2 linked regions of the Anolis sagrei genome follow. The protein of the gene in region 1 interacts with the protein of each later gene in a pairwise test. Links are inferred from orthologs where the notes say so. Each region holds a gene or a part of one and is shown in the gene's direction. Other genes may lie near its edges.

Region 1 (7,673 bases):
CCTTTGCAAGGTTGGTAAACATAAACAGACATAAACAACATTTAGCAAATTGCATAAATTCTCTCACTAACATTGTCTTTAACTCAAAGTAAACCTAAACTACAAACAGATATACATAAATTAGGCCCCTTCTACATTGCCATATAAAATCCAGATTATCTGCTTTAAACTGGATTATATGGGAGTGTAGATTCATAGAATCTAGTTCAAAGCAGATAATAGGTATTAGTGAGAAGGAACAACCCAGAACTCCCTGCCTTCAAGCTGATCTGACCTGCAGCAGGGAGTTCCGCAGTTCTCAATTGCCTGCTTGGGACAGCATCCATGGGAATGTGACCACAGCAGCAGCCTCAACCGAAGACTCTCCTTCTGCTTTACTTTCTTTCCCCTAGCTAACATTGTAACAAATCCACCCAATAAAGTATCAATTAATGGTAACTTTTCCCACTCTATAGTGTTACTTTGTGTTCTTTACTGCCTGCAAACAATTCTCTGTATGAACTTTCTCTCTCCCAGGCTGCAGACAGTTGCCGGCCTGCCCGGGATGCGATTCTTGCATTCTGGGGAGGCCGAAACTGCGTTCCTCTGAACCGCAGATACGGAAACCCATCGGGTCCCCGTATCTGTGGGTCAACAGATCGCTCCAAAATCAGTACCATTCTTCTCCTGGGCTAATTTTAAGACTAATGGTTATCTCGCATTTGCTCTGCTAACCTCTCCACCCCAGGAATAACCCTTTTGCCCCCCAAAACTCAACATGGAGCCCAGCTGACTCTCTGCTGCCACCACATCGCTGCCGCCATCTTGTTGATGCCCGAAGAGCCTGTTGACCTGGGGAACCTGCCATGGTCACCCCTTGGGACCCCCGGGAAACCAACGGGCCATCCCGGTCCTTGACGAGATGGGATCTATAGTTTTCTCCACTCTCTGACCTGGATCTCGAGCTCCAGTACTTGCCATCACCTCCAAAGGACCCAATGGACTCTGAGGAACCTTCCTCATTCTGCCCTCATGGATTCTGGAACTTTTTTTGAACTTTGGTCAACTTTTAAAACTTTTGGAAACTTTTTAGAACCCTTTTCTTCCCCAAACCTCATGAATTTCCACTGTACTTTTAGACCTTTTAATGGACTCTTGGTGGGTGGGATGGGTTGATATTAATTCCTTTCTCTCTTTTATGAATGTCTGCCTTATGAACTCCATATATGTGTCTGTATAAAATATGCAATGCCACCGTTTCGTGACCCCAGCAAGCCGAAATCTCAGGAAAATATTTTACATTTCCTGAGAAGGACTTTTCCCTTAATTAAAAGGACTCAACAAAGACTTATTGCATGGACAAAAACAATGGGTACACCTTCAGGCCTCAGCGCATGGCCACCTGAAGGAAGTACCCCATGGAGATGCAACCACTCTTCAACAAAGGAGACATCCTGCCTTCAGGAGGATTTTGGGTGCCCCAACTGCCTCACCCATTATCCTCATACCCTTGGCTGAAACCAAAGACTAGATAACATCAATTGATCCCATACCCAGGACTGGAGGTTACTGGGGCTTGGCATTCATGCCAGCCACTTTTGTATATTTCACCCGCATGAGACAAAACCAGGTTAGCTTGAGATACTTCGGATTATCGCCGGCAATTGGACCAAACATTAAGGTGCATTAATACACTCATCTTTCCTTCTGATTCATTGTTTCCTGCTTGAACCGCCTCCTCGCTCCTCATTGGCTGAGAAGCCGAAGCGGCGCTGGCTTTCCCATTGGCTGAGGCGCACCTAAGCTGGCTGTGCCTCCCCTCCAGCTGATGACGCCAATCAATCAGCTCAAAGCCGGCAAGGGGGGAGGGGAATTTGAATTTGACAGCTCTGTATCTCTATAAAAATGTATCATTCTGTCCTGCCAAGCATGTCAGCTCTGGCAAGGGATTGCAGTTTGACATCCGTACCAGCTGGAACAAAATAAAAGACAACTCGGTGGCTTTTCTTCAGCTTGGTGAGACCTTGATTGGGAAAAATCAGGGAAAATTGTTTGGGGGCTTCTTTCTGTCTTGCCAGGGCAAACGGACTCTCCTTGGTGGGTCTGACTGGTCTCTGCCTCCTGGCAAAGACCCCTAAATTTCTGCTCAATATCATTATTTGCTTTGATAATATGGATTATATGGCAGCGTAGAAGGGGATTTTGCATGATAAATTCAAAGTGTGCCCATATGAGTTTTTCTGAATTGCAGTTCCCAGGATCAAGGCTGGCTGGGGGATTTTGGGGAGTTGCAATCTAACCTCATATGGGGTGCACCTACACTGGAGAATTAATCCAGTTTGAACCCACTTTGAACAGTCATAGCTCAATGGCCTGGTATCATGGGAATTGTAGTTTGGTGAGACCCCAGCATTCTTTATCAGAGAAGCCTGAAGATTTTATGAAATGACCCCTTGCAGGATTCAATAACATTGAGCCATGGCAATCAAAGTGGTGCAGAACTGCATTAATTCTACAGTGTAGATCAGGCATAGGCAAACTTGGGCCCTCCAGGTGTTTTGGACTTCAACTCCCATAATTCCTAACAGCCGGCAGGCTATTAGAAATTGTGGGAATTGAAGTCCATAACACCTGGAGGGCCCAAGTTTGCCCATGCCTGGTGTAGATGCACCCCTTGTCAAACTGGCTTTAGGCCGGGACATGGTACCAAGACAGCCTTGGTCGCCTTAGTGGATGATCTTCGCCGGGAGCTAGACAGGGGGAGTGTGTCCCTGTTGGTTCTGCTGGACCTCTCAGCGGCCTTCGATACCATCGACCATGGTATCCTTCGGGGACGCCTCGCGGGAATGGGCCTTGATGGCACTGTTTTGCAATGGCTCAGGTCCTTCCTAGAGGATCGTACCCAGAAGGTGTTGCTGGGGGACAACTGCTCGACCTCAAAACCATTGTCTTGTGGGGTCCCGCAGGGTTCTATACTGTCCCCCATGTTGTTTAACATCTACATGAAGCCACTGGGGGAGATCATCCGGAGTTTCGGGGTGTGGTGTTATCTGTACGCAGATGATGTCCAACTCTTTTACTCCTTCCCACCTACTACTAAGGAGGCTGTTCAGGTCCTGAACCAGTGCTTGGCCGCTGTATTGGACTGGATGAGGGCTAACAAATTGAAACTGAATCCAGACAAGACAGAGGCACTCCTGGTCAGTCGAAAGGCCGAACAGGGTATAGGGTTAAGCCTGTGTTAGATGGGGTTACACTCCCCCTGAAGACGCAGGTTTGCAGCTTGGGTGTGATCCTGGATTCATCGCTGAGCCTGGAACCCCAAGTTTCGGCGGTGACCAGGGGAGCATTTGCACAACTAAAACTTGTGCACCAGATGCGCCCGTACCTTGGGAAGTCTGACTTGGCCACGGTAGTCCACGCTCTGCTTATATCCCGCATAGATTACTGCAATGCGCTCTACGTGAGGTTGCCTTTGAAGATGGCCCAGAAGCTACAAATGGTACAGCGTGCGGCAGCCAGGTTGCTAACAGGAGCGGCGCTCAGGGAGCATACAACTCCTCTGCTGCATCAGCTCCACTGGCTGCCACTTTGCTACCGGGCACAATTCAAAGTGCTGGCTTTAGCCTATAAAGCCCTAAACGGTTCTGGACCAGGCTACCTATCCGAACGCATCTCTTCCTACGAACCCTCCAGGAAGTTAAGATCATCTGAGGAGGCCCTGCTCTCGATCCCGTCTGCTTCGCAAGCACGCTTGGCGGGGACGAGAGACAGGGCCTTCTCTGTGGCGGCCCCTCGGCTGTGGAACTCCCTGCCTAGGGATATCAGATCAGCCCCTCCCTCCTGACCTTTCGTAAGAGAGTTGAAAGCCTGGCTCTTCGAGCAGGCATTCGGAACCCCGGAATAGTCAAGCTTGAGGTGGAGAATGACCCAGGAACGGCCAGGACAACAAAACGGATGAGGATTGGAATGAGAGGATATAGCTCTTTTTAAATTGTTATTGCACTGTCTCTTTTGTCTAAATGCACTTAATTGTTTTTGCTTTTGTATTGTATTGATGGCATCGAATTGTGCCGATATGTAGACCACCCTGAGTCGCCTGCGGGCTGATATGGGCGGGATATAAGTGATGTAAATATATAAATAAATAAACAAACTACAATTCCCATGATTCCATAGCATTGAGCCAGGGAAATTCAAGTTGTGTCAAGCTCAATTGATTCTGCACCCAAAGAGTCTCACCTAGTATCTCCCAGAACTATACATTCCTTCTTATTTTATTTATTTATTTATTTATTATTTCGTGTACTTCTACCCCGCCCTTCTCAACCCCCGAGAGGGGACTCAGGGTGACTTACAAAAAGGCACAATTTGATGCCTACACAGTAATACAGATAAAATATAGACAGCAATTAAACAGTTTTAACAGTTAAAAACAATTAATATATATATCACAGTCAATAAAAAACCAATCTTATGCTCAACGTTTGCAACATCTAGAATCCTGGGAGTTGTAGTTCTACAAGGTCTCTGGCCTTCTCTGCCAAAGAGAGTGGCACCTCACTGAACCACAACTCTCAGGTTGCCATAGCAGTTGCATCAATTCTCCAGTGTAGATGTAGCCATGGGCAAGCTCTATGCTTTGCTCTTGCACAGGTAAGCCACACCTGAGCCAGGAACCTCCTCCTGACGTCACCCAGACTGTGTTCCTCCTCCACTTCTGGTTTGCTTTGGTCTTTTCACTTCCTTCTCATTCTCCTCCCTGCCATAAAGTCGAAAGAGGACAAAAGTCAACGGCAGAAGCCTTTTCTTTGCAGAAACGTCAGACAGGTAAGTGCTGCTCTCGACTCACCTGGAGGGTGGGGTTGGACAGAATGTCAAGGCAGTGGATACAAAAAAAAAGTGTTTACTTCCTTGCAATGTAAAACCCTGGCATGCTTTGGAAGTCTGTTCCCCGTCTTGTCTGAAAGCTAAGCAGGGACATCCCTGGATGGGATCTGGTTGGGAGGCTGGCAACAAATCTCAGGTGTTCTGTTGAATGCAGTTTGACATCACTCTACCTACCGTGGTTTGGTGCATCTTGTAGTTTGGTGAGGTTGTAGAAATAATGCAGTTTGATATGACTTGAAGTGCCATGGCTCAATGATAGGGAATCATGGGAATGATAGTTTCACAAGACCTTCTGCATTCCTTGTCAAAGAGTTTTGGAGCCTCAGCAAACTACAATTCCCACGATTCCATAGTACTGAGCCATGGAAGCCAAAATGGTGCCAAACTGTATCTATTCTGCAGTGACGATGCATCTTAAGAAGATCCTATGAGATTTGTGTGTTTGCTATAAGTTGACAGGTGTCTTGATTGAGTGGCCTAGCCTTCTTCATAGAGTTATATGTAGAATTTGAGTTCTTTGTGTAGTTGTTAGCCGCTTTGGGTCCCCTTGAAAAAAAAGTAGGACAACAACAACAACAAAAACAACAATTATTTCTTGAGTTTGAATCCCCACTCAGGCAAGTCACACTATCTCAGCCTCAGAAGAAAGCAAAAGCAAGTTTCATCTCAAGGTAGATCCATTCAAAGAAATGCACCTGCACTGCAGAATTATAGTAGTTTGATTTGTCTTTTTCTGCCATAGCACCATTGTATGGCATCTTGGGATCTGTAGTTTGGTGAGGTGTTTTGAATACTTGCAGGTAACGCTGTGATTAAAGGGAGGGAACAAGAGCTCTCCAGGGAACTGCCTCTCAACCTTTGACTCTCCAATGTTTTTCACTCCGACTCTCAGAATTCCAGAAGTATGTGAATCTCTAGGGAATCATGTACTCCAACTCCCAATGCTCTGAGATTCTGAGAGTTGGGAGTGAAAAACATTGGAGACTCCAAGGCTGACTCTGCTTCAACTGCCAGGGCTCAGCACTATGGGATCCTGGGATTTGTAGTTTGTTGGGGCACCAGCGCTCTGTGGCAGAGAAGGCTACAGAGCCTGCGATATTACAACTCCCATGATGCCATTGCATCGTGTCATGGCAGTCAAAGTTGGTTCAAATGGTATTTATTCTACTGTGTAGCTGTGCCCTGTGATCAAAGGCTATCGTTCTCCCGAACTATAACTCCCAATGTATTGTCGAAGGCTATATATAACTCTTAAGATAGCCCAAGAAAAGCGTTTGTGGTCTGAAGGAGGGGATCTTGGGAGATATAGTTCAGGAGAGATCACTACAGTTCAAAGTACATCGTGAAACTATATGTCCCAGGTATCTATGGCAACTAAACAGACAGAGCAAGGAAAGGGGTATCAAATGTCCATAACGTAGTTACATTCCACTCTTCCTTTGACATTCTTAATATATTAATATTCAGCTCATGATTAAGTGGCTAAACAAATAATGAATTGATTTCAATTAATTAATTGATTATACAATTTTAATAATTAATAATTTATAATAAATTAATACTTTACAATAAATGAATTAATTTTATTAATAAATAATTAATAATACAATTTAATATTTGCCTAAGTATTAAGGGCTTTAGTGATTAAGAAGTAGTGTGTGCGAATGTTCAATGTGCCACAACAATCTTTTTGCACCCTCATGCTACAAATCCCGTACTTTCGAAAAGTTAACATCCACAGTTTATTTTTCCCGGGGCACTCATGGAAACTGAAAAGAACATACTTCCTTATGAGTCATACTTTTGTGTTATGCAACGCCTGGTATCTATGTACTGTTGCAGAGAGTGACGAGGCTCACAACCCGTGATCCAAATTGCATTAATTAGCCAGCGTTAGTTAATTCCTATGAGATCACGGGGGAAAACATTATTGGGCAATTGTGTACTATATCTTCACAGTAGAATGAGTATAGATTGACACCACTTGAACAGCCATGGACTCCATGCTATGCAATCCTGGGAGTTGTAGTTTCGTTCCTGACTTCAGAGAAGGCTAGAGACCTTGTAAGACTACAGCTCCCATATTTTCATAGCATTGAACCATGGCGTCTAAAACACTGTCAAACTGCATTAAATCTGCAGTGCAGATGCAACCTCAGTTTTTGTTTATAGTAGCCACTTTGCTGCAATTGATATTGTAGACCAGGTCTGGGCAAACTTTGGCCCTCCAGGTGTTTTGGACTTCAACTCCCACAATTCCTAACAGCCTCAGGCCCTTTCCTTTCCCACCTCTAATGGGATAGCCTTGGGATCTCTTCTAACTCTTCTAATTTTCACCTTGTCCCTTTGTTTTCGACAGGTATATCTTGACAAGAGCAGCAACCATGGCCACCTTGTACCCATCGCTGGAGGACATGAAGGTGGACCAAGTCCTCAAGGTGAGTGCTGTCCTTTCCCTTCGTTTTGTTCTCAGGTGTATTTACACCAGGTATGGGCAAACTTGGGCCCTCCAGGTGTTTTGGACTTCAACTCCCACCATTCCTAACAGCCTACCGGCTGTTAGGAATGGTGGGAGTTGAAGTCCAAAACACCTGGAGGGCCCAAACTTGCTCATGCCTGAGCTAGCCAGACATTGTTGGGAGTTGCAAAGGGTAGTTCTGTCAGTGAAGGGTTCAAATAAACATACAAACACCTGTGAATTATTACTTCCTTTCACATCCTCCCAGAGCTGCACATGGGACTAAACATCTCTGAAGGCAGTTAACCAAACCAAAATAGTGCAGAGTCTTCATCTGTAGTTAGCA
Region 2 (7,367 bases), on another chromosome or scaffold:
AAATGGATGTTGAAAAAATGGCTTGTTGTAAAAACAAGGCTTGATGATAAAGCTTCAATGGAGGAGACACTATTCCCCCTCCTGAGGAGTTTCCTTTTTGAGGAGATGGATAGATAGATGCTGGAATTACACTTAAGAATATACATGTTCCGACTTACATGCAAAGTCAACTTAAGAACAAACCTACAGAACCTATCTTGTGTGAGACATGGGGACTGCCTGCATGTTTGGCCTTAGAGTAACCTTTAAGTCTGCACAATAAATGTTTTGGAAACAGCAAAGCTCTTGTGTGATCTACGAGAATAAAGCATCTCTCTAATAGAAACATGAACAATGCTGAAAAGAACCTGACAGTCCCTCTATGAAGATGCAGGCAGCAATGTAAATATTTGGGGTTTTTTCCTGTATAGCTGATCAGTTCACCTTGAAATGAATTATGTCCACATATGATTTAACTTTTTACTTGAAATTCATTTGTTTGAAAGAGTGGTTGTTTTTTTCTGGCTGTGTGGAAATAATGTCCTTGGTTTGACCACAAATGCTTTTTCAGTTGAAGAGTTCCTTGTGCTGCCAAGCAAAGGGTATTATGAAGATAAGCCATCTCCCTCCTTCTTCTTAATGGCTTATTTATTTTCCTATGAGGAGGGAAGCATATAGGCATATCCTTTTCATTGTGAGCTGCTTTGAGTCTCTGTATGGTTGACAGACTCAATTGAATGGTTGGCAGTTCCAATCCGGGGAGCGGAGTGAGCACCCGCTGTTAGGCCCAGCTTCTGCCAGTCTAGCAGTTTGAAAACATGCAAATGTGAGCAGATCAATAGGTATTGCTTCTGTGGGAAAGTAACAGTGCTCCATGCAATCATGCTAGCCAAACAACCTTGGAGGTGCCTATGAACAATGCCGGCTCTTTGGCTTAGAAATTGAAATGAGCACACACACCCCCACCCAGATCAGACTAAACTTAATGACAGGGTGCCGCTGTCGACAACTAGGGGAGACCTTTACCTTTACTTATAGAGAGAAAAAGTGAGATAATAATAATAATAATAATAATAATAATAATAATAATGTCTCCTATTATGGTAGGTAGTATCAGAGCCCTCTGTAATATTGTCTACTCTGTGAAGGAAGCAACAAGCTTCACCGGACAAGCTTCAGAGTACTTGTGATGCCTGTCCTATGGCTCTTTGGGTGCATTCGCATGAAGGACACATCATTATCATCATCACCATCATATTTCTGTTTCTTTATACCAAGCCTTTTCTGCCCCAAGGAAACTCAAAGCGGATTGCATTAAATAATTAAAAGCATTTCAATACAATTTAAAATACCAGTTTCACCTTAGACTCCAGGGATCAGGGACTCCACATCTATGGCAGGCATCCTCAGAGATTGTGAGTTCTGTTAGAAAATAGGGAAGTGAGGTTTACATATCTGTGGAAAGTCCACTGAAATCCACAAGCGTGGACAATTTCAACAAAAAGGAGGAAACCATGAAAATGAACAAAATCTGGCTACCAGTATTAAAAAAAAACCTGTAAAATCAGGACAGTAAATAAAGAGCAATACTAAAAAAAACCCAGAGGAATCCCCAGGCAGCAACCAGCCAGGCTTTGAAGCTGCAAGGCCATTAAATGCTAATCAAGGTGGCCAATTGCAACATTCACAACTTGCCTCAGGCAGACAAGAGTTCTTTCTCCCACCCTGGACATTATTCCAGATATATAAACCTCACTTGCCTAGTTTCCAAAAGACTTCACAACTTCTGAGAATGTTTGTCATAGATGTGGGCAAAACATCAGGAGAGAATGCTTCTGGAACATGGTGATACAGCCCGGAAAACTCACAGGAACCCAGTGAGTTCCTTAATGACAGCATTCAACACACACACACACCAACTTGGTTGCTTCGCTACATTGGCTATTGCTGCAAGTAATGACAATATGAATAAACTGTCAATATTTGCTTGAGATAGTGCTTGCAGTTCTGGAGGGACTCTTAATTTTTTGAATCTCATAGACTTAACATGAGGATTTGGTTAACCAGTTAAAATTCATGAGTAAACCAGGTTTTTTAAAAAATCTGAAACATTTCGGGGAGGGTTTGAACCCCTAAAACCACCCCCTCGCTACAGGCCTGGCTGTGTGGAAGGGTCCTCAAGCCCCTTCCACACAGCTTAATAAAATTCCACATTTTCTGCTTTGAACGGGAATATATAACAGTGTGGACTCAGATAACCCAGTACAAAGCAGATATTGTACTGAGGCATTGAATGTTTGCCGTTTTATTTGCTTGGATTCTGCTCTGAGTCTCCTTGGGGAGATAGGGCAAAATATAAATAAAGCCTCCTTGGGGAGATAGGGCAAAATATAAATAAAACCTACAACAACCCATAAATAAAGTTATTTATTTATTTACTGTATTTGTATACTGCCCCTCTCAGCCCTCAGGCGACTCGAGGCGGTTTACAAGGCAAAATTCAGTGCCACAAAAGTATAAGTACATTTTAAAAACACCGACATAAGTAAAATCATAACAGCAATAAAACATAAGTCATTAATGAATCCTTATTAAAAACATTGTCCAGTCCCATCGTATAGTAGTTCCATTTTTGTGTCAGGAGAGACTTGAGAAACTAAGATTTGAGTAAATAGAGAACTACAGGATCTATCAGTGCTGTGTTACCATCCTGTGGGATGCTTTGAATGCAATTTTCCTGCTTCTTGGCAGGGGATTGGACTGGATGGTCCATGAGGTCTCTTCCAACTCTGTGATTCTATGAGGCTTCTCTCGTGGCCCCGCATGAGAAGCTGAAGCTGACAGATGAGAGCTCACCAGGAGCTCCTATATTGGACTCAGATAACCCAGTTCAAAGCAGATATTGTGAGTTGCTCTGCCTTGATATTCTAGACTAGCCATCCCCTGCCACGCATTGCTGTGGCCCACATGGGGGTTTTGTGTGGGAGGCAGGGGCGGCTCAACCCATTACGCAAAGTAAGCATTTGCAGTATAGTTGATTTTGCCCAGGGGCGCTCTTGAGACGCTCTTGGGGGAAAATAGACCTTGACATATGCGAGTTGTAGTTACTGAGATATATAGTTCACCTACAATCAAAGAGCATTCTGAACTCCACCAGTGATGGAATTGAACCAAATATGGCACACAGAACTCCCATGACGAACAGAAAATATATATCAGTGATTGGTTGGGGGGGGGGGGGGCACCAAAATACTGTTTGCTTACCGTTGAAAATTACCTAGGGCTGCCTCTGGTGGGAGGTTTGGCCCAATTCTATCGTTGGTGGGGTTTGGAATGCTCTCTGATTGTAGGGGAACTATACATCCCAGCAACTGCAACTCCCAAATGTCAAGGTTCTATTTTCCCCAAACTCCACCAGTGTCCACATTTGGGCATATTGAGTCTTCGTGTAGAGTTTGGTCCAGATCCATCATTGTTTGAGTCCACAGTGATCTATGGATGTGGGTGAACTACAACTCCCAAACTCAAGGTCAATGCCCACCAAACCCTTCTAGTGTTTTCTGTTGGTCATGGGAGTTCTGTATGCCAAGACAGGTTCAGTTCCTTCGTTGGTGGAGTTCAGAATGCTCTTTGATTGTATGTGAACTATAAATCCCAGCAACTACAACTCCCAAATGACAACATCAATTTTTTTGAGTGATGGTCATTCCTTGGGTTAGTGGGCGTCTTGTGTCCAAATTTGGTGTCGCTTCCCTCGGTGGTTTTTGAGTTCTGTTAATCCCACAAAGGAACATTACATTTTTATTTATGTAGAAAATTATATGGCTGCGTGGAAGGGCCCTCAAAGCGGCGGCTAACATAACTCATACACCACACCGCCTTGTGCTTGGGCAGCCAGTTGTCGTCCAGTTGGGACACACGCGAACCCGCCCCACGCCTGCTTTCCGGCAAGTGAAGGGAGAGGAGAGCGTAAAAACACGCTGTCCAAGTGCTAGGAGTTAATCTGGATCAAGGGACAGAAGCGGGAGGGGGGTGGGAGGAGGGACAAAGGACAAAGGAGCGGGCGAACAAAGAGGACAAAGCGCAAAGAGGGGCTGAGGGCGCGGATACGGGGTTCCCTCTTTTCCCCCCGCCTCGTTGATCGCGGCTCCTAAAAGGCGCGCAGTTGGTGGCCCTTGCCTCTCCCCTCCTTCTCCTCCTCCTCCTCTCCCTTCATTTCCTCCTTCGGCTCAGGCCCCGCCCTCCTCTATAAATCCTCTTTTTCTTTTTTTTTTTTCTTTCCCCCCTCCCTCGGGAGAAAAAGCGGAGGAAGAACTCGGCTGCGGAGCGCGCGCGCGCCCCCCACTTGGTGCGCGAGAAGGGAGCGCGCGCTTGCCTGCCTGGTGCCGCCCCCTCCCTTTTCCGCGAGCGAACGAGCGAGCGCGCGCCCCTTCCTCCCTCCCTCCCTTTTACTCTCTCTCTCGCGCTCTCTCTCATCCTCTCCGCCGCTGCCTCGTTCGCCTCCCTCCCTTTCCTCTCTGCCGCCTAAGGATGTCGGAGAAGCCCGCCGAAGAGGCTCCGGTGGAGCTCGGGGCAGCCAAGGTGAGACGCCGGACAAAAAAAAAGGACACAAGGGGTGGTCGCTCCCGGTCCGAAGAAAGCGGCGACGAAGAAGAAGAAGAATAGGGAATGAAGAGAAGAGGGGAGGGGGGGGGGAATGAAGAAGAGGGTGGGCGCGCGCGGGCATAGAGAGAGCGAGAGAGCGCGCGAGGGGTGGCTGCGCGCGCACCCCTCTTTTTCTCCCCTCCGTCTCCCCTCTGCCATAGTGGCCCTGGGCCCCGAGTGGCGCGCGGCGTTTGCTTCCGAAGGCCCGCGAGGGCGGGGGCGGGGAGTTGGGGAGTGAGAGCGAGGCACCTGCGGGTCTCCTTTCCTCACACAAAGGGCGCACCCGCCTCTTCCTCCTCCGTCGAGCCCTTTCGACCTGAAACTCAGACCTACCCGCCCTTGGAAGCCTCTAAAGCAGGCCTGGGCCAATTTAGGCCCTCCAGGTGCTTTGGACTTCAACTCCCACCGTTCCTAACAGCCTCAGGCGCCTTCTTTTTTCCCCCTCAGCCGCTTAAGCGGGGAAAGGAAGGGGCCTGAGGCTGTTAGGAACGGTGGGAGTTGAAGTCCAAAGCACCTGGAGGGCCTAAATTGGCCCAGGCCTCCTCTAAAGGCAAGGTCACTCTAGTACTGAAGACCCTCCCCTTCAGGGCTGGAGGAGGCAGCTCTTTTCTCTCTCTCTCTCTTTCCCCCTCCCATTTTCAGGGCTCTGTTCTTGCACAATGTTCGCCTCTTTGCAGAGCAACAAGGGAAATCATTACTGAAACCCTCCCCAGGGCAGCCAGGGACACAGGGATAAAGGTCAGGTGCTGCAGGACACTTGGCCTTGCGCTGACTTCACTGGGTTTGAGCGACCAACCCAAACAAAGACAGCGCGCTTGCGGAAAGCACTCCCAGCCCATCCGCGTGCACACACTCACACAAAACAGATCCTGCGTGCAGTCCTCAGAGACAAGACCTGCTTGCTTTTAGGGCAGTGGTTCTCAACCTGTAGGTCAGTGTTTTCGCCTAAAACTCCTAGAAATCCCAGCCAGCTTACCAGCTCTTAAGATTTTTGGGAGTTGAAGACCAAAACATCTTGGGACCCACAGGCACTGCTGTAGGTCCTCAGATGTTTTGGCCTACAGCTCCCGGAAATCCTAACAGCTGGTAAACTGGTTGGGATTTCTGGGAGTTATTGTTTTAGGGGAAGCATTGTTTTAGGGGAAGTCCCTAAAGAAACCCTTACCCATAAGTAGGGCCCTTCCAGGAGCTCCCAGTGGCGGAGTGGGTTAAACCCCTGTGCTGGCAGGACTGAAGACTGACAGGTCAGAGGTTCGAATCCCAGGAGAGCATGGATGAGCTCCCTCTATCAGCTCCAGCTCCTCATGCGGGGACATGAGAGAAGCCTCCCACAAGGATGATAAAACATCAAAACATCCTGGCATCCTCTGGGTAATGTCCTTGCAGACTACCAATTGTCTCACACCAGAAACAACTTGCAGTTTCTCAAGTTGGTTCTGACAAGACAAAAAAAAAATTCCGTTATGTCAGTGGTTCTCAACCTGTGTTTCCCCAGATGTTTTGGCCTATTAACTCCCAGAAATCCCACCCAGTTTACCAGCTGTTAGGATTTCTGGGAGTCAAAGGCCAAAACATCTGGGGACCCGCAGGTTGAGAACCACTGCCTTACATCCTTAGATGAGTGAGTTTGCTTTAGGTTTTGCATTCCACGCTAATCCTGGGCAGTTTTTATATTTATTTACTCTATTTATATCCTGCCTTTCTCTACCCCAAAGGGGACTCATTGGGGCTTTACATATGGCAACTATTCAATGCCTTTGGACAACAAACACTTAGAATACACTTAAGTTAAAAAATTAAAATTACATGCACATCAAAACATATAAAACATTGCATTCACTATTAAAATCACAGCATCGTCAATTAAAAACCAAGGCCATTCAAAGATCAATTACACATATTTCAAGGCTATTATTGCACTTTAGATAAATCTCCAAAGGCTTGATTCCAGAGCCAGGTTTCCACTTTCTTTGAACCTCGGTGGTGCAATGGGTTAAACTCTTGTGCCGGCAGGACTCCTGATTGACAGGTCAGTGGTTTAAATTCAGGGAGAGCAGGTGAGCTCCTTCTGTCATCTCCAGCTCGCCATGCCAGGACATGAGAGAAGCCTCGCACAAGATGGTAAAAACTAAACATCCGGGTGTCTCCTGGGCAGCGTCCTTCCAGACAGCCAATTCTCTCACATCAGAAGCAACTTGCAGTTTCTCAAGTTGCTCCTGACATGGATAAAACTCAAAACGTTCCTTCTGAAGGCCAGGAGGGAGGGAGCTGCTCTGGGATCAGGGAGCTGTTTTAGGGTTAGGATCATAGTGAACCACTCTACCACATTCCTCTCAAGTTCCTGGAAGAGGGGAAGGGATCTTGAAGGCTGACTTGAAAAGATCCAGAACCACTTCAGTTATGATTCATTGCTTTGGAAAGCCTGGGGAAGGCAATCTGACTGAAGGAATGAATGTTTCTGCTCCTTGAAGACCCTCCTCTCTGAGTAGAATAAGGTTCAGTGCAGAGAATAACCACCAGTGGGAATTCAAACACAAGTGGGACACCGAAAACGGTCCAAGTGAAATGAGGCTGGATATCTAGGCCAGTGTTTCAATCTCCCTCCTGGCAAGCTGGCTTTCAGAGCTGCTTAAAGCAGAAAAAAATGCACAATGCCCTCTAGTGGAAAATGATGAGGTATTGAGTCTTTACAGAGTAATATTTTTGTGTGTGTCAGGAGCGACTTGAGAAACAGCAAGTTGCTT

Evidence for each region.
Region 2: the proteins of SDCBP2 (region 1) and PTMS interact in a two-hybrid assay, tested with the Homo sapiens proteins (2 studies listed by BioGRID and IntAct). The two-hybrid records come from large-scale screens. The link is inferred for Anolis sagrei from reciprocal best matches to the Homo sapiens genes SDCBP2 and PTMS.

What each region holds. Positions count from the first base shown.
Region 1 is NC_090024.1:241,426,551-241,434,223, reverse strand, and holds the start of SDCBP2 (syntenin-2), read left to right. Parts: upstream 1-4,650; 5' UTR 4,651-4,809; intron 4,810-7,228; 5' UTR 7,229-7,253; coding exon 7,254-7,307; intron 7,308-7,673.
Region 2 is NC_090022.1:197,813,430-197,820,796, forward strand, and holds the start of PTMS (parathymosin), read left to right. Parts: upstream 1-4,365; 5' UTR 4,366-4,509; coding exon 4,510-4,560; intron 4,561-7,367.